4 linked regions of the Saccharomyces cerevisiae S288C genome follow. The gene in region 3 interacts genetically with the main gene of each other region. Each region holds a gene or a part of one and is shown on either strand. Other genes may lie near its edges.

The links.
Region 1: mutations in MMT2 (region 3) and YHK8 together harm fitness more than expected from each alone (negative genetic interaction), as found in Saccharomyces cerevisiae (one large-scale study listed by BioGRID).
Region 2: mutations in MMT2 (region 3) and ECL1 together harm fitness more than expected from each alone (negative genetic interaction), as found in Saccharomyces cerevisiae (one large-scale study listed by BioGRID).
Region 4: mutations in MMT2 (region 3) and OSW7 together harm fitness more than expected from each alone (negative genetic interaction), as found in Saccharomyces cerevisiae (one large-scale study listed by BioGRID).

What each region holds. Positions count from the first base shown.
Region 1 is NC_001140.6:201,214-209,372, reverse strand, and holds YHK8 (Yhk8p), read right to left. Parts: upstream 4,767-8,159; coding exon 3,222-4,766; downstream 1-3,221. Other genes in the region: divalent metal ion transporter SMF2, read right to left, coding at 70-1,719; FSH1 (putative serine hydrolase), read right to left, coding at 2,180-2,911; AAP1 (arginine/alanine aminopeptidase), read left to right, coding at 8,063-8,159. UniProt on the Saccharomyces cerevisiae protein: Probable drug/proton antiporter.
Region 2 is NC_001139.9:782,207-789,142, forward strand, and holds ECL1 (Ecl1p), read right to left. Parts: upstream 2,653-6,936; coding exon 2,017-2,652; downstream 1-2,016. Other genes in the region: ribosome biosynthesis protein ENP2, read left to right, coding at 1-1,684; YGR146C-A (uncharacterized protein), read right to left, coding at 3,070-3,231; NAT2 (Nat2p), read right to left, coding at 3,848-4,714; 60S ribosomal protein eL24 RPL24B, read right to left, coding at 5,106-5,573; GPC1 (glycerophosphocholine acyltransferase), read left to right, coding at 6,825-6,936. UniProt on the Saccharomyces cerevisiae protein: Involved in chronological cell aging.
Region 3 is NC_001148.4:123,707-131,652, forward strand, and holds MMT2 (Mmt2p), read right to left. Parts: upstream 4,383-7,946; coding exon 2,928-4,382; downstream 1-2,927. Other genes in the region: NEW1 (New1p), read left to right, coding at 1-1,651; ribosome-associated Tef1p biogenesis chaperone CHP1, read left to right, coding at 2,300-2,740; GRE1 (Gre1p), read right to left, coding at 4,926-5,432; FMP40 (Fmp40p), read left to right, coding at 6,456-7,946. UniProt on the Saccharomyces cerevisiae protein: Mitochondrial metal transporter involved in mitochondrial iron accumulation.
Region 4 is NC_001138.5:228,848-236,973, forward strand, and holds OSW7 (Osw7p), read right to left. Parts: upstream 4,698-8,126; coding exon 3,165-4,697; downstream 1-3,164. Other genes in the region: RSC8 (Rsc8p), read right to left, coding at 1-339; IRC5 (putative ATPase), read left to right, coding at 533-3,094; SAP155 (Sap155p), read left to right, coding at 5,395-8,126. UniProt on the Saccharomyces cerevisiae protein: Involved in spore wall assembly.

The sequences.
Region 1 (8,159 bases), on a different chromosome or scaffold from region 3:
TTGATTGGAATTTTCTGTTATTATTCTTGGATAAAATGTATACTTATACTAGTCTAAAGAATTGTTATATTAGAGGTGTACTTCTTTGCCCGTAGTAAAGCCCAGTAACATATAAAAGTTCAGTCCGGAGATAATCAACCATACTATGATTGCGAGCACGGTGACGATCATTCCATTGCTCATGTCTTTGTATTCTGGAGCAGGAGAAACTAAGCTGCGCTCCTGTGAGCTGCTGCCTATGCCCATTTCTTCGAGCTCAATGGTCTCATCATCTTCGGTTCGGTCGGCCACGGGTTTTTTGTCTGTAGTTCTTGAAAGTTCTTTGGTACGGTTAAGCTGTACACGCATAATCTTCTTGCTTGAAGTGAAGTAAAGTAAAGGTGCAGAAACAAAAGGCAGCAAGAGAGAAAGTACCACTTGGGAAGCATTTAGTGCACCAGAGAGGCCGCTACGTCCAGCTACAAGCACTAAAATCAAACAAGGCGTGATGGCTACCGCTCTTGTGGCGGATCTTCTCAATGCCGGAGAAACAGTCCAATTTAAGAACCCTTCACTAACCATTTGTCCACTCAACGTACACACGATACCGGCACTCTGTCCTGAAAACAACAATGCCAGCACGAATACCGTTCCCGCTCCCTTGGAAAGAGTACTACAGAGTAAGTTGTAAATAGAAAATAAGTCAGCTTCCTCAGCATTTTGAGTGGACCCGTATAGTGTAGCGCCAGACACGATAAGAATGGCACAATTGACAAATAATGCCACCGTGAACAGCGAGATCAGTAATTCCGTTATAGTAAAGTGCAGAGTTTCACTGATGGCCTCATAGGATGGCCTGTAATTATCGTGATTGTTATCCATATCATTCGCGTCTGGCAAGTAATGTCCGTTTTTGATATCATACTCTCTTAATCTTGGTTGAACCACACCTGACCCCAAATATAATGAATGAGGCATTACCGTGGCGCCCAGAATTGCCAGACTTAAGTATAACCCATCACCTTCAAAAACGGCTTTACTGGGTAAGAACCCAGAAAATATTTCTTTGGCAGGTCCCAGTTTGGCATAAAACAGTTCAACAGTAAAGCAAACTACGGTAAGAACCACCAATAAAGAAACAAAAGCTTCAAATATTCTGATACCCTTCATGGAACCGTTAGGTTTGTAAGCTAGCAGAACAATTAAAACGTCTACCACAGTAAGTATCACACCTAGGGCGAGAGGTATATGGAAAAGGATATTCAAAGAAATAGCGGTTCCTACCACTTCTGCCAGATCTGTGGCAATAATTGCCATCTCCGCCAGAATATAAAGAGTAATGTTAAGTCCAAAGGGCAAATGTTTCTTACAATTTTGTGCCAGATCTAGGCCAGTGACAGCACCCAATCTGGCGCAGAGGTACTGCCAAAAAGCAGCCATGAAATTAGAAACTAAGACAGAAAATAAAAGCTTGTACCGATGAGCAGAACCCGCTGCTACAGCTGTACTATAGTTACCAGGATCCATGTACGATACAGATACCATCAAACCAGGACCGATGAACCTAGCATATTTTCTCAATGTTCCGATCATGCTCTGGGATGTTGAGTTTGGCTGCAAAGTTGTTCTTCGACGCGACTCATGAGTGGTATTCACGTCGGCATACGCATCGTTGACACTATCATTATTTGTTTGGGATTCATCGCTCCATTGAATAGGTTCATATTCTTGGGACGTCATCAAACATAAACGCTATACGGAAAATTAGTGGTTAAATGGCAATAGAGATGTGCTAATATTAGTATCAAAACAAATAGTTGTTGAAGAGGGTTTTCTAAACGGTTAAACGCGTTTGATGGTTAAATGACTAGAAGCAAAAGGAGACTGATTCTGAAATTTAATATGATTTCTTTTTTTTCTGCTGTTTCTCTTCTGCATTATTTTCTTCCTTCGAGAAAGAGTATAAGTATGTTTAAAAAGGTCTTCGTAAGCCACGCTAAAGCACCCCGGGTGGATTTTTCGCGCCGGGCGGGGTTAGCAGCACGCAGGATGGAAGAGAAGAGAAAGGATGCTACAAACTTGTGGTTCATTCTATACAAAGTACTTATATGTATATATACATACTCGATCAGCATTTCACTCCACACACCCTGCGTGTGATAGTAAAAAGCTAGAAAGCAGGTAAGCAACAACCTACGATTTATTCAGAAGCTTCTTGTAAGGAAGAGGTTATTTGTTCAACAATTGGTCTGATAATGTCCTTCTTGTTTGGAACCATATGTCCACCAGGGTGTTCGTAAGCCAACACCTTTTCCTTATTACCATTTTGCGCCTTCAAATAAATATCGTACAGGTACTTGGATCTGACGGATGGGACGGCTTGGTCAGAAGCACCATAGATGAAGATCATCTTGGTCTTCATGTCTGGTTTTACCGCAAATGAGTCTCTGAATTTTTCGGTTATTCTCAATTCTCCAGGATGTTCTGGGTCTGGCTCGGTGAAGGAATAGCCGGAAATGACTACACTTACCTTGAATTGTGGATGGTCTGGAACTAACTCTGAGATCTTGTTGGTGATGATAGAGGACAATGCGGCACCTTGAGAGAAACCGACAATGCCGTCGTATGGGCCATTGGCCTTGATGTGATCAACAACAGACTTCAAACCTTCTGAGATATCCAATTCGTGAGAGATTTCGCTGTGATAGAACCAGGCTCTGTTAACATCCGCATCTAGGGTGGCTTGCCATTTTTCATCATCCATTTCAAATGGCAAGTCCTTCTTTTCTAAAAGGACTGGTGCATCAATATAGTCACATTGGACATTAGCCTTCTTCAATAATTTTCTAATACCAGATGATTTTTCGGAGAAAACTTTACCGTTTTGCAAGAAGCCGTGTAAAAATAATAATTTTGGAATTTGTACAGTCATCCTTCGTTTATTACAAGCTAGAGAGTTTCAGATTTAGCTGCTACTTTTACTAGAAAATTAAGATTGGCCGCGTACATCTGGCATTTTGCACCTTTATGGTTTATATACAATATACATTGCAGCCAAAAACATTCGAAAACTAGAGAAAAAGAAAGAAAACATGCGAGAATATGCAAAAATGAAAAAATGCAAAATTTCTTTTTTCTTTGGCCTATGCGTGTTGCCTTTTGAAGATCCGAAACAATCTATCACCAATGACGTAAGCGGGAAAAGATTATGCAACATCCAAAGGAAAAAATATGCAAAAAAATCAATCATCCCATGCATACGGCGACTTGGCTCTCAGTCGGGCACCGTATTTGGTAAACAGAAATGGGACAGGAATCATCGCTACGGTCACCATTGCCAAGAGAAAGCCGGCCCAATTCACTCCCATTGACTTGTACATCTGGAGTCCGAAAAGAGGGAAGACACCGGCCATTATGCATCTCACAAATGTGTTACAAGCCATTCCAGAAGCTGCATATCTTCTATAGGCATCCACTGTATACGCAAAAACACCGGTAAAGACGAAATAAACACCTGAACCGAAAATTGCACTGCCTATAATTGGTGCAATCCAATGGACATGCTTGTAGCAGGTGAATGCAAAAATGAAGAGCCCAACTGGGGTCAAAAAGGCGCCGTAGAACAGAGGCTCGAATCTCATTTCGGGAGTCTTGACGCCATTATTTCTTTTGACTCTCCACTCAAACGTTTTTTGGAATAACAAGCAAGTAGGAGCCGAGAGTATCATGCCGACCATAATACCGATATAGGAGCATGCAATCTCCATGGGCCCAAAGTTGTAAAGTTTCTTGAACACATAAGGAAACGCTACGAAATATAAATATATTATGGCAAGTTCCAATCCAGTATAGAAGCAAAGCACACCCATCATTCGGTCTCGAAGTAACAGGCCAAAGGGTCTTTTGGTTGAGAGAAAGATTGCGGAAAGTAAGGAAGTCTGTTCGCGGGTGACTTCCAGGACAGCATAATACCGTTGATCATTTTTCTCTTTCCTCAATCTCTTAGCTTTACGTATTAACAGCATTGGTTTGTAGGTTTCAGGTATGGTAAAGATGATCATAACGAGACAACATCCAGAAGTGATGAGAAGTGTGATAAATGTCCATTTATAACTTTGATGGTATAAGGCTCCACCAATGATTGGTCCTAAAGAGGGCCCCAAAAAGGCCGATGTAGTGTATATTGCCATAGGAATACCAATTTGGTCTTTGTCGAATATATCGGCAATGGCGCCGCCAGCCACACTTAGAAAGGCTGAACCAAAAAACCCGGATAGAAATCTGCCAAACATGACACCCGTAATGGTCTTGGACCAAATGGTCAAACACTGCCATATGATACTGAGCGTAAGGGCGTATAAAAATGTGATCCTTCGTCCATATAGTTCACTTAGTGGAGACAGAAATAAAGGTCCTATACCGAGCCCAAACACATAAAGCGTAATTCCCAGAGTGCTGACTTCGTGCGAAATATGAAAGTGTTCGATTATGTGCGTTGAAGGAAGCGTCCAGCTGGACGAGATCATCGTAATTACCATCGATGTGAATGTAATTAACGAGGAAATATAATACCGGCGGGCGGTGCTCATATGCCGTGCTATATCTTCTGGGTCCGCGATGTCCTCGTTGAAGGTCACTTCATGCGATTGTTTGCCGTCATTTTTTCGTTCACTGGTCAATTCCAGATCCAGTTTTGCGGCTTTGTCTGAGTTTATTGAACAATGCTCTTCTTCAGTAGATGTCAATGCCGATGACTGTGCACTCGCTATTTGAAATTCTGCAACCATATCCTGTTGTTATATCTGCATATATATGTTCTTAGTATACAAGGTGATACCATACACCAAATGTAAGGCAAATATGCCTTTATATAGGGTCCAGGTGAACGTAACGCATCTAATAACAAGTGTTATTGCTTGACCTAATAATCTGAGATGGTCGCTTCACCGGTAGAAAAATTCTCTGCGTATTACTAATCTCAACAATAGCCAACACTAAATCCGTAGGACCGGCGAAAAGCGTGCTAATCTCCGCTTTATTGCCGGATCCGAAAGGTGTTTCTGGCATCAAGATGTTATAAATCACGGAATTAAGAGAAGGATATTAAATGTGCCATTGCATTTTATTGATATTTCCACTCACCCAGAGGGATAATAATGATCAAAACAGATATACAATTCAGCTCCACTTTTACCTGCGCAACATGACATTTCCAGAACTAGCTTACAATTCGTACACCGGTTATAATTGGTTTATGGTTTCCAATGTAGGACCAATTTTTAGAGATAAATACTGAAGCAAATATTGGATTTCTTCTGTGTTTCACACGAAGAATATGAGTGAACCATTATTCCGGCTTTTGTTTCCTACAGCAAGATGTAAGTTATCTGGTTTGCTTATTACTTAGAAAAAGGGCTCCTGCTGGTGGAGGTAAATTAGATTATGCACCTATCGGCGGGTTAGCGTTGGGCCGTAGCCTTTTGGTCGCTTGCATTTACCACGTATTTTTTCCTTTCAATTTATTATAAGCTTAGAGATACGATTTCAAGGCGCAGCTCTTCTGTTAGCAGTTTTCTCTACGACTTTGTATGAGGTTCATCTCATTTTGTTAGCTTCTATTCACATACCTACTATAACACTAATCCTGCTATGGTTCAGACCCAAATATCTTCAACCCCTGCCATAGGAACTGTAAAAAATAGATTGTAATTCAAAGTACCTTCAGAAAAAAAAAGTTATATACGGCGCATACTACACAGTACGCAATGTGTCACTTGGTACCGCTGTTCTTATGTTCGTTTAAACAAGATCTCGAGGTTTGAGTCAATGTACGAGATTTTGAAACCATGAGGGATGTGCCCTCAAACTTTATGATCTGGTTTCTTTTTTTATTTATATCGTTTTTATGCTGGGTTACGTTGTTGTTTTATATTCCTTGTCTAGTATTACGGTCAGCAGAGGCCAAATCCTATATGCATTATATGTGGTTAGCATTGACTCCTTAATAGAACGGCCAGTTATCAATCAAATTGCCTATAAGCATGGATCACTAGCGGCTAGTATTGTATTGCATTTGGAATAGCCCTCTTCGTTGAGCCACAAAGATATCTTGCGGAAATGTGGCTAAAGCAACTTTTGATGATTGCTGGGAAACGGTTTGGTAAACTGCTGAAGCAATTGTTGTACACAATACTTCTGCTTTTGGCCCCATCTGGATTTTTCATTTCCGCTTTTGCCTCAGGTGCAACAATAACTATCTTTGAGCATCGTACCACCAATACAAAAGGATATGATCGTTATCATACAGAATTTTTCATGGATTTTGCATGTTTCGGTATAACTTTACGTAGGTGAATTATTGAAGGGCTTTGTGATAGGTGTGGATGTACCTGCCGTGCGTTGATGACCTTCAACTGATCGGAACAAATTGCTATTACATGTAAAAATCTCATGTATGAGCGAATCTTTTTGTGTTATAGGCAATCACCTAGAAAAGCTTGGAAATTGGTCCTGAGTTTTTTGTTGATGGTAAGTGCATTTTTTTAGTATGAAAGGTTTACGATATTAGCTGCTAAGTTCTCCCTTGCCCTAGTGAATTACGTTTTTTTCGATTAAAAGGGTTGGTCCCGAAATTGACCTCTTATATGTACCTCAATTGCAGATAGCATCAAATTTAGACTACGTCATCAACCAAATTACACCCTATGAAAAACATAAGATTATAAGCATGCGTTTGTGTAAAGGTCATACCATTTTATACGTTGACGCAATGGTGCAAATAGAAAGGTTTACGAAAGCTCTTATTCCGCTTAGCGCAATTCTATTGTTAATTTCAAGTAAAAAGATAAATATCTCACGTCCTTATATTATCTTTGATTAAAATTTCACGATCAATGTAACGAAAAAAGGTCGCAAATATTTCTTTTTCATCACTCTGATTAAACAATGGCATCATGAAACGCTCATTGGATCGTTACACGTTCTCATTGTACATATGTATGATTTAGAACAGCTTGTTCGCCTGATCTCCACCTTATACCCTCATCTTACCGCAGTGCGGTTTTACGCCTCATGTTATTTTTGCCAGCTTTAATAACAACATCAGTAATATTACGTTATTGGATCTTCCACTCCGGTTCGAGGAAAAAAAGAGAGGAGGAGAAACGCATAAGCTACAATAATGAGTGAGTTAACGCTTTAATTTGCTCAGTGATCATTGCTAGCCGGATATTTGTGTTTTTGTAGAACCCAGCCATACCTAATCATCTCAGTATATTATCTGAATTCTTGACTCAAAATATGGATTTTCTCGAACGTCTCACTTCCAATCATCCCATCAAATGCTGTGGATGAAAACATTTAAAACACGGGCAAGAAAAAATGAGTATAGTATAGTTGTGGCCAGTTCTTGTTGTACTAATGCACTTGCTTTCGTATCAAAGTTGAAGAAGCACTGAAAGAACAACAAAAAATTTATTAAAAGCAAAAATCATTCTACGTTCAACGAAAATGTAAGGCAAATATATCTTTATATAGGCAAGCATAACCGACGCTAACTTTGTTCGAGCTTCATCAACGTTATTAATATCGTAGTTATTCCGCTTTGTCTCAATAAGCTTTTGCTTACTTGAGAAAAAGAACGAAGTTTCTGTTTGAGATTTTCCTTCTCATTTTCTTTGAAATTTAAAGGAGAAATATTCAGCTCTATACATTCTTTGTTCGAGTATGTTACACATCACCTTACAATGGGAACATCCTATGATGACATACTTCTTCTCGATGATTTATTTTTTTTCTCAGCAAACGCTGTTTTCTAGGCGGTGAAAAACGGGAGTCTTCATCCCACATTTTTTGAACTCGTTGTGAAAGTTTTTTTTCGTACTCTTGGACTTGGCTGTGGGAGTTTGACACATTTTTTTATTTTTTTTCCGTTTTTTTCCCTTTTGTTAGCGATCAAACTTTTGACTTTATGAGTAATCTTAGCTAATCATTTAGAATTATCTTCAGGGAAGCTTATTCAATTCGTGATTTTTCTTTGAGGGTTCCTGTTCAAGCAAGCCAAATTGCCCTCTCAGCTAATACCATGTCCCGTGAAGTACTGCCAAACAACGTTACCCCATTGCATTATGACATTACACTAGAACCTAATTTCCGTGCTTTTACGTTTGAAGGGTCATTAA
Region 2 (6,936 bases), on a different chromosome or scaffold from region 3:
TAAGGTAAACTGTGATTTATATGTTGGTGCGAGCGGTAATGAGTTATACAGGTTGAACTTGGAAAAGGGGAGATTTTTAAACCCATTCAAGTTGGATACTGAAGGCGTGAACCATGTTTCTATCAATGAAGTAAATGGGTTGTTAGCGGCAGGCACGGAAACAAATGTAGTGGAATTCTGGGATCCAAGGTCGCGTTCCCGTGTTTCAAAGCTATATTTAGAGAACAATATTGACAACAGACCATTCCAAGTCACCACAACCAGTTTCCGTAATGACGGGTTAACTTTTGCATGTGGTACGTCGAACGGTTATTCATACATTTATGACTTGCGTACTTCTGAACCTTCCATTATTAAAGACCAAGGTTATGGGTTTGACATTAAGAAAATTATTTGGTTGGATAACGTCGGCACGGAAAATAAAATTGTTACATGTGACAAGAGAATTGCAAAAATATGGGATAGACTAGATGGTAAGGCATACGCTTCTATGGAGCCTAGTGTTGATATTAACGACATTGAGCATGTACCAGGTACAGGTATGTTTTTCACCGCTAACGAAAGTATTCCCATGCATACATATTATATTCCAAGTTTAGGACCATCTCCACGCTGGTGCTCATTCTTGGATTCTATCACAGAAGAATTAGAAGAAAAACCAAGTGACACTGTTTACTCTAACTACAGGTTCATTACTAGAGACGACGTTAAAAAATTGAATTTAACGCACTTGGTGGGATCCAGAGTATTAAGAGCATACATGCATGGTTTCTTTATTAACACTGAACTTTACGATAAGGTTTCATTAATTGCTAATCCAGATGCCTACAAAGATGAAAGAGAAAGAGAAATTAGACGTAGAATTGAGAAAGAAAGAGAATCCAGAATCAGAAGTTCAGGGGCTGTTCAAAAACCTAAAATTAAAGTCAATAAAACATTGGTTGATAAACTATCTCAAAAACGTGGTGATAAAGTTGCAGGAAAGGTTCTTACGGATGACCGTTTCAAAGAAATGTTTGAGGATGAAGAATTTCAAGTCGATGAAGATGACTATGATTTCAAACAATTGAATCCAGTAAAATCCATCAAAGAAACCGAAGAAGGTGCTGCTAAACGTATTAGGGCGCTAACTGCTGCCGAAGAGTCCGACGAAGAAAGAATTGCAATGAAGGATGGCAGAGGTCACTATGACTACGAGGATGAAGAGTCTGATGAAGAAGAATCTGATGATGAAACGAACCAAAAGTCAAATAAGGAAGAATTAAGTGAAAAAGATTTGAGAAAGATGGAAAAGCAAAAGGCACTAATTGAACGCAGAAAGAAGGAAAAGGAGCAAAGCGAACGTTTTATGAACGAAATGAAAGCCGGCACTTCCACGAGTACGCAAAGAGACGAAAGTGCTCACGTTACATTTGGCGAACAAGTAGGCGAATTGCTTGAGGTGGAAAATGGAAAGAAATCAAATGAATCCATTTTACGTCGTAACCAACGCGGTGAAGCAGAACTTACTTTTATTCCTCAAAGAAAAAGCAAAAAAGACGGAAATTATAAATCCAGGCGTCATGATAATTCATCGGATGAAGAAGGTATTGACGAAAATGGTAATAAGAAGGACAATGGTAGGTCGAAGCCCAGATTCGAAAATAGAAGAAGAGCTAGCAAAAATGCGTTCCGTGGTATGTAGTTATATTAGAAATTGATATTTTAATTATCCTTTCACCTTAAACTAAAAATATTATATGTATGAAGACGAAGACAGCAAAAAGTATGCGTGATACAGTTTACATTATAGAATTCTTTCCCCAAATATTGAGGGTTTTGTTTTTTTTTTTTAATGCAGATGTACGTACATATTTTCTTTATCAAAAGGATGTGTAGAGAACTATGTATATATGTATATGTGTAGGTTTTTTTTTTTTAGGATGACTAGAAAAGGAAATCGAAAAAGAAAAAATAAGCATGAATCATGAGTAGGTTAAAGGCAAGTCGAAGAAGATACGAAGCAAGTGAAGCCGTTTAACTGGAGGATAGTCTAAACCATAGGTTGTAGTTATTCTCAATGATCTGATCTGAGATCAAATGATCATCAATTAGATCGTTTGATCGTGGCAAGTTGTTTTCGTAACCCAAATGTGCCTTTGAATGCAATTGGTAACTAGAATCGAGTCTAAGAGAGTCGGCTAAGTTCAAATAATGTTCATTTTCATCATATTCGTCAACACGAGAAGGATTAGACTCCTGCTTAGGATTGACTATACCATCCTGAGGTAGCAGCAATGGTGAAATTAATAAGGACTCTAGCTTCTCCAACTCGTCAAAGGGGATAGTTGAAGATGTCGGAGATGAAGATAGTGAGGTAGTCGGCTCGAAGAGGTTTGATGCAGTTAAATTTTTAGAATATGAAAGCGGTGGAGTGAGATTATGCGAATGAGAAGTTTTTGATTTTTTATGCAAGTGGGATAATAATTTCTCATTAAGAGGGTTCGAATCCTTCAGCTTACAATCTTCGGAGCAATATAACTTATTTGATTGTAAACTGCTCTTGGTTTCATTGTCCCTTTGGATCTTCCTGGTATTAATGTTCGTTTTCTGTGGAGATGTTGGAATGAGACGATCACAAACAGTGCAGTAATCGTTGAATGCGGTGCTCATTATATGATTGATATGCAAATCGGTAAAGAATACCTGAAAGGAGTGGAGGGATAAGAATAAAGTAATTATTCTCGAGCTTTTTTTATAAGGAAAAAAAGGAGAATCGGTAGCGGAGTATTGTTTCTCTATTCTTTCTTTGCTTACTCTGTTTTATAATTCTCACAAGTGTTCAATTTTTAACTTCTTGGGACAACACTATAGTTCTAAGTTCTTTAGACAGTTCAAAGACAGTTTACTCAATGGCGATGGCCTGTGTCAATGATTATATTGTATATATATATGTGTCCAAGTATGGATGTGAATGTATCTAAATTTTCCGAAATGCAAGAAATAAAATTCTCACAATTGGGGTGTTGAAACGGAAAAGATCGGTATTCCTTTAAATATAAGAATCACCACGTTTCAGGTCTCCAAGTTCTAGCTAAAGATCGTACAAACAAGTGCCAATTTGGGAAAAAAGGGCGGCCTAATTGTGAAAAAAAAAGATGCCCAACTGAAAGAAGGGCAATGAGCAATAGGGAATGTAAACGAATGCAATAAGAAAGCACACGTTAAATTACACTCAGGGAGGAACCCCATAATAAAAAAGTAAGAAAATTGAATGATCTGAACCCGGTGCGCAAAAGCGATGAGATGGGGCGATGAATGACGGTAATAAACACGGTAGCAAATACACCCGAGTCGTGTGCCCTACATTAAGAAAAAAAGAGATGAAAACTTCTCCTCTATTCCGCGGTAACCTATGGTCACGGCCAGATTTTTTCCAAGTATTTTTAGCTCAAAAGCTGAACCGCTTTAGCTGGCCGACTAAGCGAATCTTCTGGAACATATGTGAAAGGCGCACTAGGATTTTCGTTGAGGGATGAGCTTCCCGTTGAGAATTAATGCGACTTCAGGCGGCACAATACGATCTGTTGTTGCCGTTTGAGTGTCGTTTGGCACGTGGAGGTCCCTCCTCAGTGCTCATTGGGTGGCTCGGCCGGGGTACAGCTAGCAGGATTAACGATCCCTCTTAGAAGGATCGCGAGCAATAGCACTAGCAACCGGGCTTATGTAAAATGAGTACGGTAGAAGCTTCTATGACCTGTTCACGTGGCCAAATGTTCTGTTACTAGTACGTAAACAACGTGGTTACGTAGAAAAAAGAAAAGAAATGTAAACTCTATATACATGCTAAGCCTACGCTAATATTCTTTCACATTAGGCCATCAAACCATTTCTGGCCTTTGGTTCTTGGTTTGCGCTTTGTAATGTCGAGCGCTGTGCCCTCATTCTTGATGAAATCGCTAGGGTTGTTCCCTTTGTATCTTATTTTGGCACCAGAGGCCATCGTTTGGAATACCTTTTTCTGCTTCTTCATCAAGTCGATGCCAAACCTCTGCAGAAGCTTGACGAAGGATGGCGTTAGCACTGCCGTCAGGGGTACTCTAACGATGATCAAACTCTTGTGTATGCCATACGCAATTAGCAATTCGGCCAACAACGTGCTGTCCTTCATCTCTTGCCATCTCTCATTGAAAGTTTTCCTCGATGCGTCCTCCACCTTGTCAGCATTCTCTGCTTGCACTGCTTCGCGATGAGCCTGTTTCCTTCTAACATCTTGAATGACTTTGCTTTCGTCAGGCTCACCCATCCCAATCAATTGCTTACCTCTGTTCAGATAGATCTTAATCTTCTCTTCACCTAGTGAGTGGACTCCCAGAAAACATAATGGCAAATCAACACAAGTTAAGAGGATATATACGATCAGTGCAGAATAACCATACTTAGCCATTAATCCTTTAATACCGTGTGGCTCATTTTTCTTCCCATTGTTACTTTTGCTTTTATTTTCATCAAACTGACTACTTTTTTCCTCTGTACTGTAAAATTTTCTGTCTTGTGCTGAGTGCACACTTATCCCAGGTCGTAGGAGAAGGCATTTTACCATACTCCTACAAGGGGCACTAAAGTCCCTGCGCAGTGTATGGGATACGGTTTTCTGTATGGGTAAAGTTACAAATCCCCATCGAAGAAATATCCTCTTGAAAACTGGTGAAGCACTAATCCTGGGTACCATCATCACCCCAACTCTAGACCAAAAAAGAAAATTTCAAAAAAGAAAGGGAAGATCTAATCTCCTTGCAGCGATCTAAGAGGAATTTATGCTACTTTTTAACTTTGGTTTTCCCTTGTTCTTAAAGATGTGATATCATGTAAATGTCAAGCCCATAGGCTTCGTGAAAATCCACTTGAAGCCGGGTAACGATCATGAACAATAACAACTGCTCATCCCAAAGATACCTTTATGACGTTTTCAACGTAACGCAGATTTCTATTGTATCACGGTCTTTTATATATTATATTATTTGATACTTAACACAAAAATAAGTACGGATCACGTTTTTATTTTTTTATTTCATTTTTCTTGTAATGATATATTATTAATAAAAAACTAACAAAAGTTAATTATCTTAACGGGAAGTGGCGGCAACCTTTTGGAAAGCACCCTTAGCTTGTTGCTTGGAAACCTTGGAACCTTGGACACCAGCGGACTTAGCCTTTTCAGCCTTTCTAGCAGCCTTTTCAGCTCTCTTCTTTTCCTTGTTGGCTTTCAATTTTTCTTCTCTGTTAGCTTTTCTAACTTCTGGCTTCAAAGATCTTCTTTCCTTGATCAAGTCCAAAGAAGCACCAGTGATTGGTCTTTGCGCCTTAACGGTCTTTCTAGATCTCTTCTTAGCAACTTCTTCGGTGATACCCTTCTTGTGATGCTTTCTGAACAAGACGGTCCAAGCGATTCTTCTTGGGTTCTTTCTTTGTTTGAACAAAGAAGCAGATTTGGAGTTTTGGAATCTGAAAATTTTGGAGTCACCACGGACAAATAAAGTACCTCTACCTGGGTAGATCTTAGCGCCGGAAAAGGAATCAACTTCAACCTTCATTGTTCTTCTAAATTAAAAAGCTGTGAAAAACCACAAGGTGAAATACACTCATGGTTTATATACAAATTGATGTTAGTACACAATTTTGGTTCAAAGAGTTTTAAATGGGAGAAAATTTATCAAGCCGACAACGAGAACAGTATTTCATCACGACAAGCATATCCAACAGATCCCGATGTATATTTGCCAATGATGTTCCGTACGTCTTTCGACGGTCCTGATTTATTCGCATGTACTTTTCTGGGAAGATGTTCAACGTTGATTAATATAACGCCTTTATCGTGGGCCTCTTATTAACCTCAGCATTGTTCAAATGGTCGCTTCTTTCTCAATTCCTACACTGCGAAGCTCCTCGTTGTCCTCAATATTCTCTCATTTCCTAATGGGCACGCGACATACGTTTCAATTCAAATTGTTGCTCGCCTCTTTTGTTGACCACCCAAAAATTTAAACGCCTATAATTTAGTTAATCAATATAGGTTACCTGTAAATATTGGTAATATCAACTCCCACTACTACTGTTTCTGGCTAGATGTCAACTGCGCAAGAGCAATCAGGCCAAACGGGAACTCCCGTCAACCCATGGCTGGAGTTCCCTCAACGGGAACCTCTACATTCTCCTACAGAGGCGCAGGCTCACGGTAAGGAACCCCCGGTAGTGTTGCGCGCTCAACGACGCGAAAGCCTTAATTGCCGCAGTACAGAGTATAAAGTTTTTAAAAATTGAAAATTAGTGATTGGGTTTAGAGTATGCACGGATGTTGTAAGGAATATTGTTTGGCAAAGTTTCACATAACGAGATATATGCTATTTTCAAACAAATAATCCTGCCAACACTAGCGATAATAGGAGTTGTGGAAAGCTTGGACAATGTACATTTTACACACACATATACATACGCACAAACGGATGTACGTACAAATATTTCATTAACATAATATCTTATCCAGCACACCAGGCATATTAGGCCACCAAATTACGTATGGCTGTATTTCGGTTTGGCATTATAATTTTGAAAATTATCTCGCATTATGTGTGACTTCGCCGAATATTCACAAGCAGATCAAATGCTGGCTTTTTTTAGACATATCAACCCCTAAATGGGTTTAGCGGATAACAAATATATATCAATAGTAATATAAGGTATATTCAATAGAGAAGCTTTGACATCATAAAAGCTCCCATTTAACAAAAAATTATCTCCACATTGTGATACCATTTAGAGTGGCACTCATCGCTATCTTTATCGTAATGTACAAGTTGGACAATAACGACATTGACGATGAAACGAATAACTCTGTTTCACTGACGAGCCTTTTAGAATTTCTCGACCCGATCGCTTCAAAAGTAGTTTCAAAATACT
Region 3 (7,946 bases):
AGACTTGGTTTCCTTCATTGCTTTAGATGAAGAACTGCAATCTACTTCTCGTGAGGAAATTGCAGCCGCTTTAGAATCTGTCGGTTTTGATGAAGAGAGAAGAGCACAAACTGTTGGATCTTTATCTGGTGGTTGGAAAATGAAGTTGGAATTGGCAAGAGCTATGTTACAAAAAGCTGATATTTTATTGCTGGATGAACCTACCAATCATTTAGATGTTTCGAACGTTAAATGGTTAGAAGAATACTTACTGGAACATACTGATATTACTTCATTGATTGTTTCGCATGACTCTGGTTTCTTAGATACAGTCTGTACTGACATCATCCATTATGAAAACAAGAAATTGGCTTACTACAAAGGTAACTTGGCAGCATTTGTTGAGCAGAAACCTGAAGCTAAATCTTACTATACCTTAACAGATTCTAATGCTCAAATGCGTTTCCCACCCCCAGGTATTTTAACAGGTGTTAAGTCTAACACTAGAGCCGTCGCTAAAATGACTGATGTAACTTTCTCTTATCCAGGTGCCCAAAAGCCTTCCTTAAGCCATGTCTCCTGTTCATTGTCTCTGTCTTCTCGTGTGGCTTGTTTAGGTCCTAACGGTGCTGGTAAATCCACTTTGATCAAGCTATTAACTGGTGAATTGGTTCCAAATGAAGGTAAAGTGGAAAAACATCCAAATTTACGTATTGGTTATATTGCTCAGCATGCATTGCAACACGTCAATGAACATAAGGAAAAGACGGCAAACCAATATTTGCAATGGCGTTATCAATTCGGTGACGACCGTGAAGTCTTATTGAAGGAATCCAGAAAAATATCCGAAGATGAAAAGGAAATGATGACAAAGGAAATCGACATTGATGACGGTAGAGGTAAGAGAGCCATTGAAGCTATTGTAGGTAGACAAAAGTTGAAAAAATCTTTCCAATATGAGGTCAAATGGAAATACTGGAAACCAAAATACAACTCCTGGGTTCCAAAAGATGTTTTGGTCGAGCATGGCTTTGAAAAATTGGTTCAAAAATTCGACGATCACGAAGCCTCCAGAGAAGGGTTGGGTTACCGTGAATTAATTCCTTCAGTTATCACCAAACATTTTGAAGACGTTGGTCTTGATTCTGAAATTGCTAACCATACTCCATTAGGTTCTTTATCTGGTGGTCAATTAGTTAAAGTCGTTATTGCCGGTGCTATGTGGAACAACCCTCATTTACTTGTTTTGGATGAACCTACCAACTATTTGGACAGAGACTCTCTTGGTGCTTTGGCCGTTGCTATTCGTGACTGGAGTGGTGGTGTCGTTATGATTTCGCATAATAACGAATTTGTTGGTGCTTTATGTCCTGAACAATGGATTGTGGAGAACGGTAAAATGGTTCAAAAGGGCTCTGCACAAGTTGACCAATCCAAATTCGAAGATGGTGGTAATGCTGATGCCGTTGGTCTAAAGGCCTCCAACTTGGCCAAGCCATCTGTAGATGACGATGATTCTCCAGCTAACATCAAGGTCAAGCAAAGAAAGAAGAGATTGACAAGAAATGAAAAGAAGCTGCAAGCCGAACGTCGTCGTCTACGTTACATTGAGTGGTTGTCATCGCCAAAAGGTACACCAAAACCAGTTGATACTGACGATGAAGAAGATTGAAAGCCTACTGGCTAGTGTTTTATCTTCGCTAACTTCGTTTGTTTCACTCCATCTTTTTTCTTTAATTCACTCCTCAAATGGAGTTTACTACGTTGATAGAATTTAGGACAAGCATATGACGCTCTCCTTCCTTTTTTGTTTTCTAGGTTAATTCATTTTTCATACAGAGTAGTTAATATTGGTTCTTTTCATATATGTACGGTACGCAGATTAATTATGTAAACTTAAACTTAAGGGATCCTTTTTGATGCTAACAATTGTCGATGTTGAACTACAAATTTATGTAAGAGGTCGTTGTTAAGGATTATTATTTTAAAAATACACGAAGATTGATTATTATTTCTTACATGAGGTTATGAATCGTGCTCCAAAAGTATACCAAAAATAACTCCTGAACTGCTAGGCACAGTTTGCGATAATTTAAAGGGGTTAAATACACTTTTACTACTGGCTTTCACCTTATAAATCCCTCATTAAACTAAAGATGAATGAACATTGTTGAAGAAATTGTCCGGGTAAGAGGTTGTACTAGGGAGTGATGAACATCCATAAATTCTTCGACTAGCAGAAGTAATGATAATTTTCACCCGTTAAAGCTACATCTGGTTAGATGGACTAGAAGAACCACGACGAAACAATCATATAACAATGTCTACTTTTAATGCAGAAACCGCTGATAACTTGGAAGATATCGAGAAACAATTCGCTGTTGTTGCTGTTGAACAAGCGGAAACATATTGGAAACTATTAACAAGTGTTCCCGGTTCCAAGTTACGTTTGACTAAGTTTGATGACGAAATATACGAGAATTTTATGGAGAGATTCCCAGAATACAAAGATGTTGAAAGGGTCAAAAAGTTTACGGAGGAAGAATTAAAAACAAAAGAAGCCAAGGAAAGATGGAGAAAGTTCTTCACAATTTTTGAGAAAAAAATCGAAGACTATAACTTTGGTACTTTGTTGAGGACAGACGCTTCAGCCGAGTATGGTCAATTTACTACTTGTTTTGTCGTGAGACTACAATTTTACGCTTTTGAAATTGCTAGAAATAAACACGGCTTGAACGATTGGATTGTCGGTCAGAAATGAACATGCATATATATTTGTGATTGATTATATAGAATACATTACTTTATACAAAGGAACAACACAAGGCATTCTTCCTTGTTCAACATATATATATATACATATATATATTAAGCTCAGTAAATTGTTGAAATGTGAAAGGCTGTACTTTTGCTCTTAACTTTTGAAAAAATTCATCATTGAGAATTCCCTAATGTTTATGGGTGTGAGTATCGGCAGAATCAGAATGAGTATGAGTATGATTTGTTGATTTAGTGTCATGAGAGTGCTCCAAATCACCTTTAGAGTCAGAGGTTACATCAACAAACTCGACGTCCACCTTCCCCACGTTTGGCACCTTCATACGTAAATCCTCTCTTATAGTCGAAATAGCGTTTTCCAAAAATCTTATCCCAACTTCCTGACCTGAATGTAATACTGGCACTTCCAAAGTTGTGGTGGCACGAAGATTAGGACCGGAAGCTAATATAGTAAGGTCTCTAACATGTAACGACTGTTTGAGATCTAAGTCTGTTTTCAAACTGCCAATGCTGTCTTTTATGACAGATTCGATTTCTAGATAACGCGGATCAGTAGGTGGTATAGATTGGTCAACTAACTCCTTCAGTGAGGATAAGATACCTTGTCCACCTGTTTTTATGATCAAACCTGACACTACAAGCCCACCTAAATTATCTAAGGATTGAATGTTGAAAAAATAACTAGATGTGATAGCGACCAACGCTACCAACGATGTCAAGGAGTCAACACGATGATGCCAGGCGTTTGCCATTAGTACATTAGAATTTGTTTGGATTGCAACTTTCTTTGTTGCCTGAAAAACCCATTCTTTAACCAAGATAGAACCCGCTGCTATCCATACAGCATTTACATTAGTTGCCTGTTGTGTTAGCGACTGAGAATGGGAATGCGTTTCACCAATTAAACCGGCCATCGATTCTAGAATGGCATGAGGAATGACAGGCCCCACAATAGCGCATAACGACGACCAACCGATAGATATACCAGCCATTGCTAAGATTGTGGATACTGCCAAAGATCCCACAGTTTCCACTTTACCATAGCCATATGGGTACTCCGAAGTTGGTTTACGAGACGCATATTGGACAGAAAACAGTGTTAAAAAATCAGATACCAAATCGCTAAGAGCATGTACGGAATCAGCAAGTAATGCTTGAGAATGAAAAGTGATTCCTCCTACAAATTTTCCTACTGCCATCCCCACATTTGATGCAAGTCCTATCCATGTTATTCTTACGCCAGGATTCTTCTTGATCTGCTGTACGTTCAGTGACAATAAAGGATTGTCATGCATATGTGTGTGGCTGTGACTATGAGTATGTTGCAACAACGACTTCACAGAGGAAGCCTTGCCTTCCTTCTTTCCTTCACTTTCATTCTGTCTGGAATTCGATCCATTCTGTGAAGACATTTTTGAAATGAGCTGTTCATTATAGCCCTCTTCTTGACCTTCTTTATTTAGCAGTTTCGAAGAATGCAGGCACCTTCTCGGGTTGGCTGAGATCATTGTACTGTACAGGCTTGATGTTCTTATGGCCCTCCCGGCAGCATGGTAACTAGTGTTGTTATAACCTGGCACAAAGGAACCGAATTGCTTGATAGAGTCAATACTTATCCGTAGCATATCTTTATTGCGTTTGCTTTTTTGAGAAAGTAATTGCTTACACGTTCTAGAATAAAAAAGTATGGTTGTAAGAACGCACTTGAAAAGGCACCAATCTGCTCGGGTTTTTACAACTAACACTAACCTAGATGAGAGGTAAAAAGAAATCGTAAAAAAAAGTTGTTGCCCAGCACAATAACGACACTTTACCCGCTAATTCCAGGAGGTTTGAGTTAGACAACGACCTTCCCACCCCGTTTTCCCATAATTCTATTGTTATACACCTGGATCTGGAGGTCCGTGAAACGGCATACCTCGACGAAAAAGGTCACTACTAATCAAATCAAACTGACATTAATAAAAACGTATAAACTGACAGCTGTAGATCTAAATAAACTAGATTAAACATATGAAATAGTTTGTAAAAAGTGGCATCATGACCAATAATAGGTCCAGATGAAGAAAAAAGAAAAAAGAAGACGAAATTAGGGTAAAATTTCTCACTTGCTGCTCAAGGGTGAGACCCGCACCTCAGGCATGTAATAGAAGCTTCGACCACCGCATCTACCAGACGCCTTGGTTCCCACTATCATCATCATATTCATCGTTTCCTGACCCAGACAGATCGCGTCTACCGCTGCCGATATTAGAGGATTGGTAGCGGTTACTTTGAGCACCTCTTGTACGACCTTGTTTTTGCTGTTGGCCCGAAGTCAAGAAGTCATCGTCTTCATCGTCGTCCAACTGACCTTGAGTGTTAGTTTCGCGGTAAGTTTGGGTATAAGTGCCACCACCAGTGCCGGCAGTGTAGTCAGTAGTTTGTTGCTGGAAGTCGTTACCGCCAAACTGCGTGTTACCGCCTAGATTAGACTGTGGCTGCTGGCGTTGAGGGAAATTCCCTTGGTTTTCTTCGCCGTAGGGATCGGCCTTGGATCCTTGATTCCTGAATTCCCTCTGTTGATGTTTTTCATGACGCTGTTGTCTAGTCTGGTCGTCATTGTCGTCTTCGTAACGTTCATCATGATCGTTGCCGTGCAACTTATCAGCAAACTTGTTTAATAGATTGGACATTTCTTAATTGTTATTCGTACTTAGCTTTTATGCGGTAGTGTTTGGCTCTGCTGCTAGTAGATATTAAGAGTTGAGGGTAGGTATGTATCCTTTTTTTGATGAAATAGTAATGTGCTTTTATAGTCCAAGAAATATTGACTGCTTCAAGGGAGCCTGATTAACAAGCACGTAACGGAGACCAAAAAAAGGATTTCGGTCTTTTCTAACCATTTCCCTTTACTCCCTTGTGCGTTATTTGTTTTGATTACTAGGCATGATGTATGGAGGAACTTGCGATCAAATGTCATAAAAGTGGAGGAGTGAAAAGAAATGACGAAGCCCAAAACGTGGTCCTAGAATTACCACATTTCCTTTTTCTAAAGGAAGCCAGACTATGCTTTACGCAAGAACTGTGGTTAAAGAGGGATATTCTGATGAACATAAATTCATACACATTCATGAGAAGCACGACAAGGATTGGTTAATTACTTACAACTAAGGCAAAACTGCCATTGACCTCATCTGTACCACCACATGCTGTGTAGTTATTTTCCCTTTGTGATCCCTAAAAAAGATGGGATCTACACACCTTACAAGAACATCCTCAAACCCATACCTGGAACCACTGAACATATTCTTCCCGTGAAAGGCTCTACGGCGAAACTACTGTAATGTCACAGGAAATTAAGGATGCTTCGACTATGGAACGGACCATACATGGGGACCCGATGTATAGAAAGCCTCAATGAGGCAAAGAGTCTAGCTCCTTTAAGATACGTAATTCTCCTTCTGTTTTCCCTTAATTATTCGGGTGAAATACCACATGGTCGCACGGCTGACGGGGAACTCCGGAATTGGACGATGAAGAACTTAACGGTGATATGAGGTGATCGTGGAACAAAACGTTGTGCCAAAGAAGCCACAAATACGTCACTGTAATTATTCTGCCTGCATAAAAAGAGCCATCAAGGATAAGCTAGAGACTATACTCCGGAAGTAGAAGAAGGAAGGTGTGAGAAAGAAGATAGAGCGTGTAACACAATCATGGGGGAAAAAAGGACAATAATCAAAGCGCTGAAAAACTCTGCAGCGTCCCACTTCATCAAGAAGTTGACCGCAGATACTTCCCTGTCGTCCATACAAGAGGCAATAAACGTCGTGCAGCAGTACAATGCAACGGATCCCGTGAGATTAAAGCTTTTCCATACGCCTCGGATGGTTTCGCAGGGGGCTCATTTTGCATTTTGTTTGCCCACTAAGAAACCACATTACAAGCCATTACTGCTTTCGCAAAACGCACTTGATGAGTTTAATTTGGTGCAGGATCAGGACTTGGAGAAAATACTATCCGGTGAGAAAGTATATTATTCCGATAGTATCTTTCCCTATAGTACAGTGTACTCCGGATTTCAATTCGGCTCATTTGCTGCACAGCTGGGAGACGGACGTGTGGTAAACTTGTTTGATCTTAAGGACAAGTGTAGCGGACAATGGCAAACGTTTCAGTTGAAAGGTGCCGGTATGACGCCATTTTCTCGGTTTGCAGATGGGAAAGCTGTGTTAAGATCAAGCATACGTGAATTCATAATGAGCGAGGCGTTGCACAGTATTGGAATTCCATCCACAAGAGCTATGCAATTAACTCTGTTACCGGGGACGAAGGCGCAAAGGCGCAATCAAGAACCGTGCGCTGTTGTATGCCGTTTTGCGCCCAGCTGGATCCGCTTGGGTAACTTCAACCTATTCAGATGGCGGCACGACTTGAAAGGGTTGATCCAACTATCAGATTATTGCATTGAGGAATTGTTTGCTGGGGGGACCCAATTTGAGGGGAAACCCGACTTTAATATATTCAAAAGGGATTTTTTTCCTGACACTGAGACGAAGATTGATGAGCAGGTGGAAAAGGATGAAACTGAGGTGAGTACCATGACCGGAGATAACATTTCCACATTGAGCAAATATGATGAGTTTTTCAGACATGTAGTTAGCTTGAATGCAAACACAGTGGCCCATTGGCAAGCGTATGGGTTTGCTAACGGTGTTTTGAATACGGATAACACCTCCATTATGGGCCTGACAATTGATTATGGCCCCTTTGCCTTCCTGGACAAGTTTGAACCAAGCTTTACCCCGAACCATGATGACACAGCGAAGAGATATTCGTTTGCCAACCAGCCAAGCATTATATGGTGGAACTTGCAACAGTTTGCCAAGGATCTCGCATGTCTGCTGGGTCCTGAGGCCCGTGACCTTGAATTGTTACTTAAGGGCGAACTGAATTCTGTTGATGACGCCCTAGAGAAAACCATGATTGAAAGGGTCCAGAAGTTGGTAGAGCTCAGTGCTAATGAGTACAAGTATGTGTTTACGACAAGGTACGCGCAGATAATGTCTCAAAGACTCGGTGTAGATCTGGATCTGGAAAAGTGCATGTCTTCTACAAACCTCAAAGATATCGAACATGCAGCCGAGAAGGCTAAAGAGTTCTGCGATGTTATCGTCGAACCATTGCTAGATATTCTGCAGGCCACA
Region 4 (8,126 bases), on a different chromosome or scaffold from region 3:
CTTGAACCTTGATGAATCGTTGAAAAAGTCGGGATTGGATCTTTTTTCGATCTCGTGGATCTTCGAAATATCAAACCAAGAGGCAAACGACGGAATAATCACCGGGTGAGTTTGCTTTGCCAGGAACCTAAGGGCCTTCTCCTCCAGTTTCTGTGCTTCTTGCTCGTAATTGATTTTCTTATGAGCTACTTCTGCTCCCAATGTGGCAGATTCCTCCTTCGCCTGTTCCTGTGCTAAGTGAGGGAAAGATGGCGTGTTGGTGCTTGTGGTGGGTGGCTCCTCGGTCGCTTCGTGCGAGTCTACCATAGGGACATCCTTATCCTTTTCAGTGTCGCTCATTATCCTGGCCTTCTATCTACTCTTTGCTTCTCTGCTCTACCCTTCTCTCTATAAACCTCACGAACTAATTCAATGTTGATGAAACTTATTTTTTCCAACTTTTTTACATCAAGCGGGTGACAAAGAGAACGCCGTAATTAAATTATCATAGAAAAGAGTAACGGATTAAGGAAGTATCAAATTTGGCGATGAGATGAGCAGATGCTCAAACGCGGCGCTGATGACTGTTGTTGAGGATGCTGTTGGGGCCAGGGTGGCTGCAAGGACGAGAAACATGAGCAATGGCGTCAATTACCGGGAGAAGGAAGTCAATGACCTAACGGCTGACATTTCAGATTCAGATTCAGATTTGGATTCAGAGGACAATAAACATGGCAAAGGCGACAATGACACTGCCCCCATATGGTTACAAGATGATGTGCATTCAGACGAAGATATTCAGCTGGACTCAGAGGACGATTCCGATACAGAAGCTGTTCAAGCCCAAGTGGTGGATAAATTGGCAAAAGACACGAAATCAGAGCAAAAATCCTTGGATGATGAGCTCTCCGAGATGGATACCAAGACGGTTTCTTTAAAACTTAAGAAACTAAACGAGTTTGTGAGGCAGAGTCAGGTATATTCCAGTATAATCGCCGATACTTTACTACATCGATCTAATGAAGTGGCTAACGCTAATACAAAAGATAACAGCAACTCTGATGATGAAGAACATTCTTCAAAAAAACGTAAAACAAAAAAAAAATCAATAACAGATTTCTTCAAAAAACAGAAAAAGAACGAAGATACAACCACCCAAAACGGCGCACCAGACGATGCAGCAATAAAGCAACCTCGCCTATTGAAAAACTGTATTTTAAAACCTTACCAACTAGAAGGTCTTAACTGGCTGATCACTCTTTATGAAAATGGCCTGAACGGAATTCTTGCCGATGAAATGGGTCTTGGTAAGACTGTTCAAAGTATTGCTCTTTTGGCGTTCATATATGAAATGGACACAAAGGGTCCTTTTCTAGTGACTGCACCATTAAGCACCCTAGATAATTGGATGAACGAATTTGCAAAATTCGCTCCTGATCTACCAGTTCTAAAATATTATGGGACCAATGGTTATAAGGAACGTTCTGCCAAGTTGAAAAATTTCTTTAAACAACACGGCGGCACGGGGATCGTCATCACATCATATGAAATTATTTTAAGAGATACCGACTTAATCATGAGTCAAAATTGGAAATTTTTAATTGTTGATGAAGGCCACCGTCTGAAAAATATAAACTGTAGATTGATTAAAGAGTTAAAAAAAATCAATACTTCCAATAGACTGCTACTAACAGGGACGCCTTTACAAAATAACCTAGCTGAATTATGGTCACTTTTGAATTTCATAATGCCCGATATCTTTGCCGATTTCGAGATATTCAATAAATGGTTTGACTTCGACAGCTTAAATTTAGGCTCCGGTTCCAACTCTGAAGCATTGAATAAGTTAATCAACGATGAACTACAGAAAAATTTGATTTCCAATTTACACACAATTCTGAAACCATTCCTTTTGAGAAGATTGAAAAAAGTTGTTTTGGCTAATATTCTGCCGCCAAAGAGAGAATATATCATAAATTGTCCGATGACGTCTGCACAGGAAAAATTCTATAAGGCTGGATTGAATGGAAAGTTGAAAAAAACCATGTTCAAAGAATTAATCAAGGATTTTTTCACATTGAACGATGAATACATCGGCCACGTTTCTAATCGGTCCATACGAGATTTCATCAATTATAAACTATCTGGTAATGAAACTTCAAATACAGACAATAAAATCAATCCAACCTTGTTGCAAATGGACAAACTATATAAGAAGAACCTGCAAATGGAAATTTCAAATAAGAAATTGCAAAATATGATGATGCAATTGAGACAAATCATTGACTCAACTTTTTTGTTTTATTTCCCATATTTACACCCAGAAGACTTGACTTTGGAAACTCTTTTAAAGACGTCTGGGAAATTACAAATCTTACAAAAATTAATCCCCCCATTAATATCTGAGGGGCACAAAGTGCTTATTTATTCTCAGTTTGTTAACATGCTCGATTTGATCGAAGATTGGTGTGATTTAAATTCGTTCGCGACATTTCGAATTGATGGTTCAGTAAACAATGAAACAAGAAAGGATCAACTCGAGAAGTTTAATAGCTCGAAAGATAAGCATAACATTTTCCTATTGTCCACAAGGGCGGCAGGACTGGGTATTAATCTAGTCGGGGCAGATACAGTTGTCTTGTTTGATAGTGATTGGAATCCACAGGTGGATTTACAAGCCATGGACAGGTGTCACCGTATTGGCCAAGAATCACCGGTTATAGTATATAGGTTGTGTTGTGATAACACCATTGAACATGTTATATTGACCAGAGCGGCCAATAAGCGAAATTTGGAAAGAATGGTTATCCAGATGGGAAAATTCAATAACCTGAAAAAATTGGCGTTAAATGAAGGTTCTTTTTTGAAGGCAAACAAAGCGGGTGTTAATGTCACTAATAAGGACTTAGTCCAGGAGTTATCTATGCTTTTAATGAGCGATGAATCCAATATAGGCTTTGAAAATGGGGGACAGAAAGAAAATAAGGCTACTGAGGGCCAACTGACTGATAAGGAGGTTGAAGAATTGACCAACAGATCTCTTGAAGCGTACAAGGCCAACAGAGTCGTAGATCTGCCGCACGTCAAGCTATTTGAAACAACCTCCGGTCTTTAACTTGGTTATCATACAATATTGTTTTTATTAAATGTTTGTATATATGTACATATACATACCTATATATTGATCAATGTTCTTGCCGTACAAATTCTTCCTCTAGTTGTTCCTTTAGTTCACGGTTTTTGAATAAAGTATCCGCAGTATTCATTCGTTGCAGAAAGGTATCTTGAATATTATTTTTTGTGTTCTGGAAATCAGCTTTTAGTTTAGTAATCCATTCCAGTATCAAAGTCATATCCAGATCATGTTTTACCAGACGGTTCCTCTCAGAAATAACTTTCTTTTTCAATTCCATGAAACGGAGCCAGTTGGAATGATTCTCTTCTATATAGGCAGGATCGTATTGATCTTCCAAATGGAGACCTCTGACGTCCATATATGCCATTCTTTGCGACCATTGACTTATCATTACATCGCCCCACTCTTCGTACACTTCGACGTTTTCAAGACGAATCGATTCTGCCAGTTTAGCCATTTCGGTAAGAAAAGAATCTAATGAATGAAACAGTGATTTTTCAAAGTCTAACAAATGTATTTTATAATTCTTCAGTATCGATGTGATAGATGATTTGGTAATGTAAGCTTCCAGTTCAACTTGACCCGATTCATCAAAATACTTTATTTTATTTTGCACAGGATCGAATTTAGAGGTACAATTAATATCTTTGATTTTTGAATCTAGAAACACTAATTGCTCATTAACGGTAGTGTTAAGGTCATCAAGATTCCTAGTGATTTCTATAGATTTATTTTGCACCTCGGCCTCGAACACAGACTGTATCTCTGAATCCAAAAGTGCCATCGCACTGTGTATTTTCGAATCTATAGCCTTAATCCATGCTTCATATTCCATTTTTAATGATTCTGCCTCGTAAGTTTCCAATTCTGCATGGCTATTGGAACCAATGATAATCTTTGACAAATCCTGCAAAATAGCAGCAGTGACGAGTTGTGAGTTCCCGTGGCCATCCTGTACTCCATCGAACTCGTATTCTTTATTTTCATCCTCAATTCCGACATCATCCTCATCCTCATCTTCATCCTCATCCTCATTTTCATTCTCATCATCCTCATAATCCTCTGTTTCCGAGTCTGTCTCAAAAATGGGTTTGGTGAGCGTGCCATCAGCGCTAAAGGAGCCGTATTTCATCCAATCCGTAGAGGAGTTAAATGGATTCTCTAGTACATTCTTCACATTGTCTGTATATGGCTTTAAATAGTACCAGGCAATCCTTAGATGATTTAATAAAGGTCCCAACTTGGAATGTAGCGAACAGCAGAGCTCATTTAGCCTTAGAAAAGAGAAAATATTGTACCAAAAGCGGTAAAAATATCCCATAATTCTCTTCAAGGATGAGTTGGGGTATCTTTCAATCAGTGGTTTTATCGATTGTGAGTACTTTCCAACTAAATAGTCAGAAACCGCTGAACCTTCAACCAATTTAGAATCGAATAGTGAGCCAACTGAAAATTCAGTATGCCGGCAAATGGGCTGTAAATCTGTGGCAAAGCTTCCCAGACCATTTTGCTGACAGACCAGATACCTTGCAATAAACACGCAAGCCAGCAAAGCAGTCGTTACTTTGAAAACGGCCTTCATGATTTTTAGTAAAGAACTAACCACCTTTTTCTTAGTTAAGAAAAGGTCAATCAGTAACAGAAATATGATAGTAGCAACACCCAAAAAAATGCTATCTTCCAATAGTCAAAAAGGAAGCCTCGATGCCATACAAGTCTCTTCTAAAGTACTATTATGTAATTCCTGTTAAATGATACCTGTATTGTGGCTTAAAAGGGCCGAAATGACAACAAAATGAGTAGGGTTAATTTAATTTTTAAAGAGGGCATTTATCTAAAAAATGAAAGACAACTATAGGGCTGGTAATTATAGAATAGGTCTTAGTAGGGTTATCCCTTCCTCTAGAAAAAAAGAAAGAAAAATAATTTTAAGTGGCCAATTAGAACCAAAACCAACAGTATCGTGGTATCATACGCTCCAAAGCAACTAGAAGAAAGGCCTTATTTGACCATTGGATTCAGTATTTTTTCTCCAAGTAGCGGTTAAAAGACTGAGAGACTAAAGCTAGATAGTGGGTTTGAGTGACTATCCCCTTTTTTCCTCCTCTTTTTTTATTATTTTGATTTTATTTCATTTTGATTTTATTTCAACACGATTAAGACACAAGCGTTACTTCCCTAGACTATAGTCTCTGCCGTTCCCATTCTATTGATTTTTGGAGCAGCAGTTTTTACAAAAGAAAAGAAAAAAAAGACGAAAACAACAAGCCAGAGTAAAGATGTCGTTTTGGCCATTTGGACAGAATCTTAATCACTCTAATATTAATAAGATCCTAGATGAATATTTTCATGTGCTACACGAACTGGAAAGGATTAACCCAAGCGTTGGTAAAGCCATTCCCGCTATTTTCAACAACGTTCAGGAACGAGGTACAAGTGACTCCCTAGATTCTATTCCGGAGGAGTATAGTCATGGTGATGAAGTGAAAACGGCACGTGGAGATCAGAAGAGTCGATTTGAGAAGGATGATCAGCAAGAACGGTATGAGAAAGAGGAAGAGGAACGGAGCATGAACTCTAGCGAATCTTCCACTACATCTTTTTCTTCTGGGTCAACTTCTAAAACTGATTTAGATGAGGAGGATATCAGCAATGCTACTGCTCCCATGATGGTCACCACAAAGAATTTGGATAACTCTTTTATTGAAAGAATGCTTGTAGAGACAGAGCTACTGAACGAATTATCGAGACAAAACAAGACGCTACTTGACTTCATTTGCTTTGGATTTTTCTTTGATAAGAAAACTAATAAGAAAGTGAATAATATGGAATATCTGGTCGACCAACTGATGGAATGTATCTCGAAGATTAAAACCGCCACCACAGTGGATTTGAATAACCTGATAGATTATCAAGAACAGCAACAGCTTGATGATAGCTCACAAGAGGACGTTTATGTGGAATCTGATACGGAGCAAGAAGAGGAGAAAGAGGACGATAATAACAGCAATAACAAGAAGAGACGAAAACGCGGAAGCTCCTCGTTTGGTAACGATGATATCAACAACAATGACGACGACGACGATGCGAATGAGGACGATGAATCTGCTTATTTGACAAAGGCCACCATAATATCTGAAATCTTTTCCTTAGACATATGGTTGATTAGCGAGTCATTAGTTAAAAACCAATCATACTTAAACAAGATTTGGTCTATCATCAACCAGCCAAATTTCAATTCTGAAAACTCTCCCTTGGTACCCATATTCTTAAAGATTAACCAAAATCTGTTGTTAACCAGGCAGGATCAATATTTAAATTTTATTCGAACGGAGAGAAGCTTTGTTGATGATATGTTAAAGCATGTTGATATTTCCCTATTGATGGATTTTTTCTTGAAAATAATATCCACAGATAAGATTGAATCACCCACGGGAATAATTGAATTAGTATATGATCAAAACTTGATCAGCAAATGCTTAAGCTTTCTAAATAACAAAGAGTCCCCAGCTGACATCCAAGCATGCGTGGGTGATTTCTTAAAGGCTCTGATTGCCATTTCTGCTAATGCACCCTTGGATGATATTTCCATTGGTCCAAACTCCTTGACGAGACAGCTAGCATCTCCCGAATCCATTGCAAAGCTAGTCGATATCATGATCAACCAAAGAGGTGCCGCATTAAATACCACAGTTTCGATTGTCATTGAGCTGATAAGGAAAAACAATTCAGACTACGATCAAGTTAATCTTTTAACCACTACTATAAAGACTCATCCACCTTCAAATAGAGATCCAATATATTTAGGCTATCTACTTCGGAAATTTTCAAACCATTTGTCCGATTTTTTCCAAATCATTCTAGATATTGAAAATGACGCCAACATCCCATTACATGAAAATCAGTTGCACGAAAAATTTAAACCTTTAGGATTTGAAAGATTCAAAGTGGTGGAATTAATCGCCGAGTTACTGCATTGCTCTAATATGGGATTAATGAATTCCAAAAGGGCAGAAAGAATAGCCAGAAGAAGAGATAAAGTAAGGAGCCAGTTATCCCATCATTTACAAGATGCATTAAACGATCTGAGTATCGAAGAAAAGGAGCAACTTAAAACGAAGCACTCTCCAACACGTGACACTGATCACGACCTAAAAAATAACAACGGTAAAATAGATAACGACAATAATGATAATGATGATGAAAGTGACTATGGCGACGAAATAGACGAGAGCTTCGAAATTCCATACATCAATATGAAGCAAAACATAAAACTTAGGACCGACCCCACGGTCGGGGACCTATTCAAAATCAAACTATATGATACGCGAATTGTTTCCAAAATAATGGAACTATTCTTAACACATCCTTGGAACAATTTTTGGCATAATGTTATATTCGACATAATTCAGCAAATCTTCAATGGAAGAATGGATTTTTCCTATAATTCCTTCCTTGTTTTGTCTCTGTTTAACTTAAAGAGCTCCTATCAATTTATGACTGATATCGTCATATCAGATGAAAAAGGAACGGATGTTTCCCGATTTTCTCCCGTTATTAGAGACCCAAATTTTGATTTCAAAATAACTACAGACTTCATATTAAGGGGCTACCAGGATTCATATAAATTTTATGAGCTAAGGAAAATGAATTTGGGATATATGGGCCATATTGTCTTGATTGCCGAAGAAGTGGTCAAATTTTCTAAATTGTACAAAGTGGAACTAATATCTCCCGATATTCAAGTAATTTTACAAACCGAAGAATGGCAATACTACTCCGAAGAAGTCTTAAACGAAACAAGAATGATGTACTCTAAAATTCTTGGCGGTGGAAGTTATATTGATGATGGAAATGGTAACATCATTCCGCAGCTGCCTGACAATACTACTGTATTAACTCCAAATGGTGATGCAAGTAATAATAATGAAATCCTTGATTCAGATACCGGGAGTAGTAATGGAACAAGTGGTGGCGGCCAATTAATCAATGTTGAGTCTCTAGAAGAACA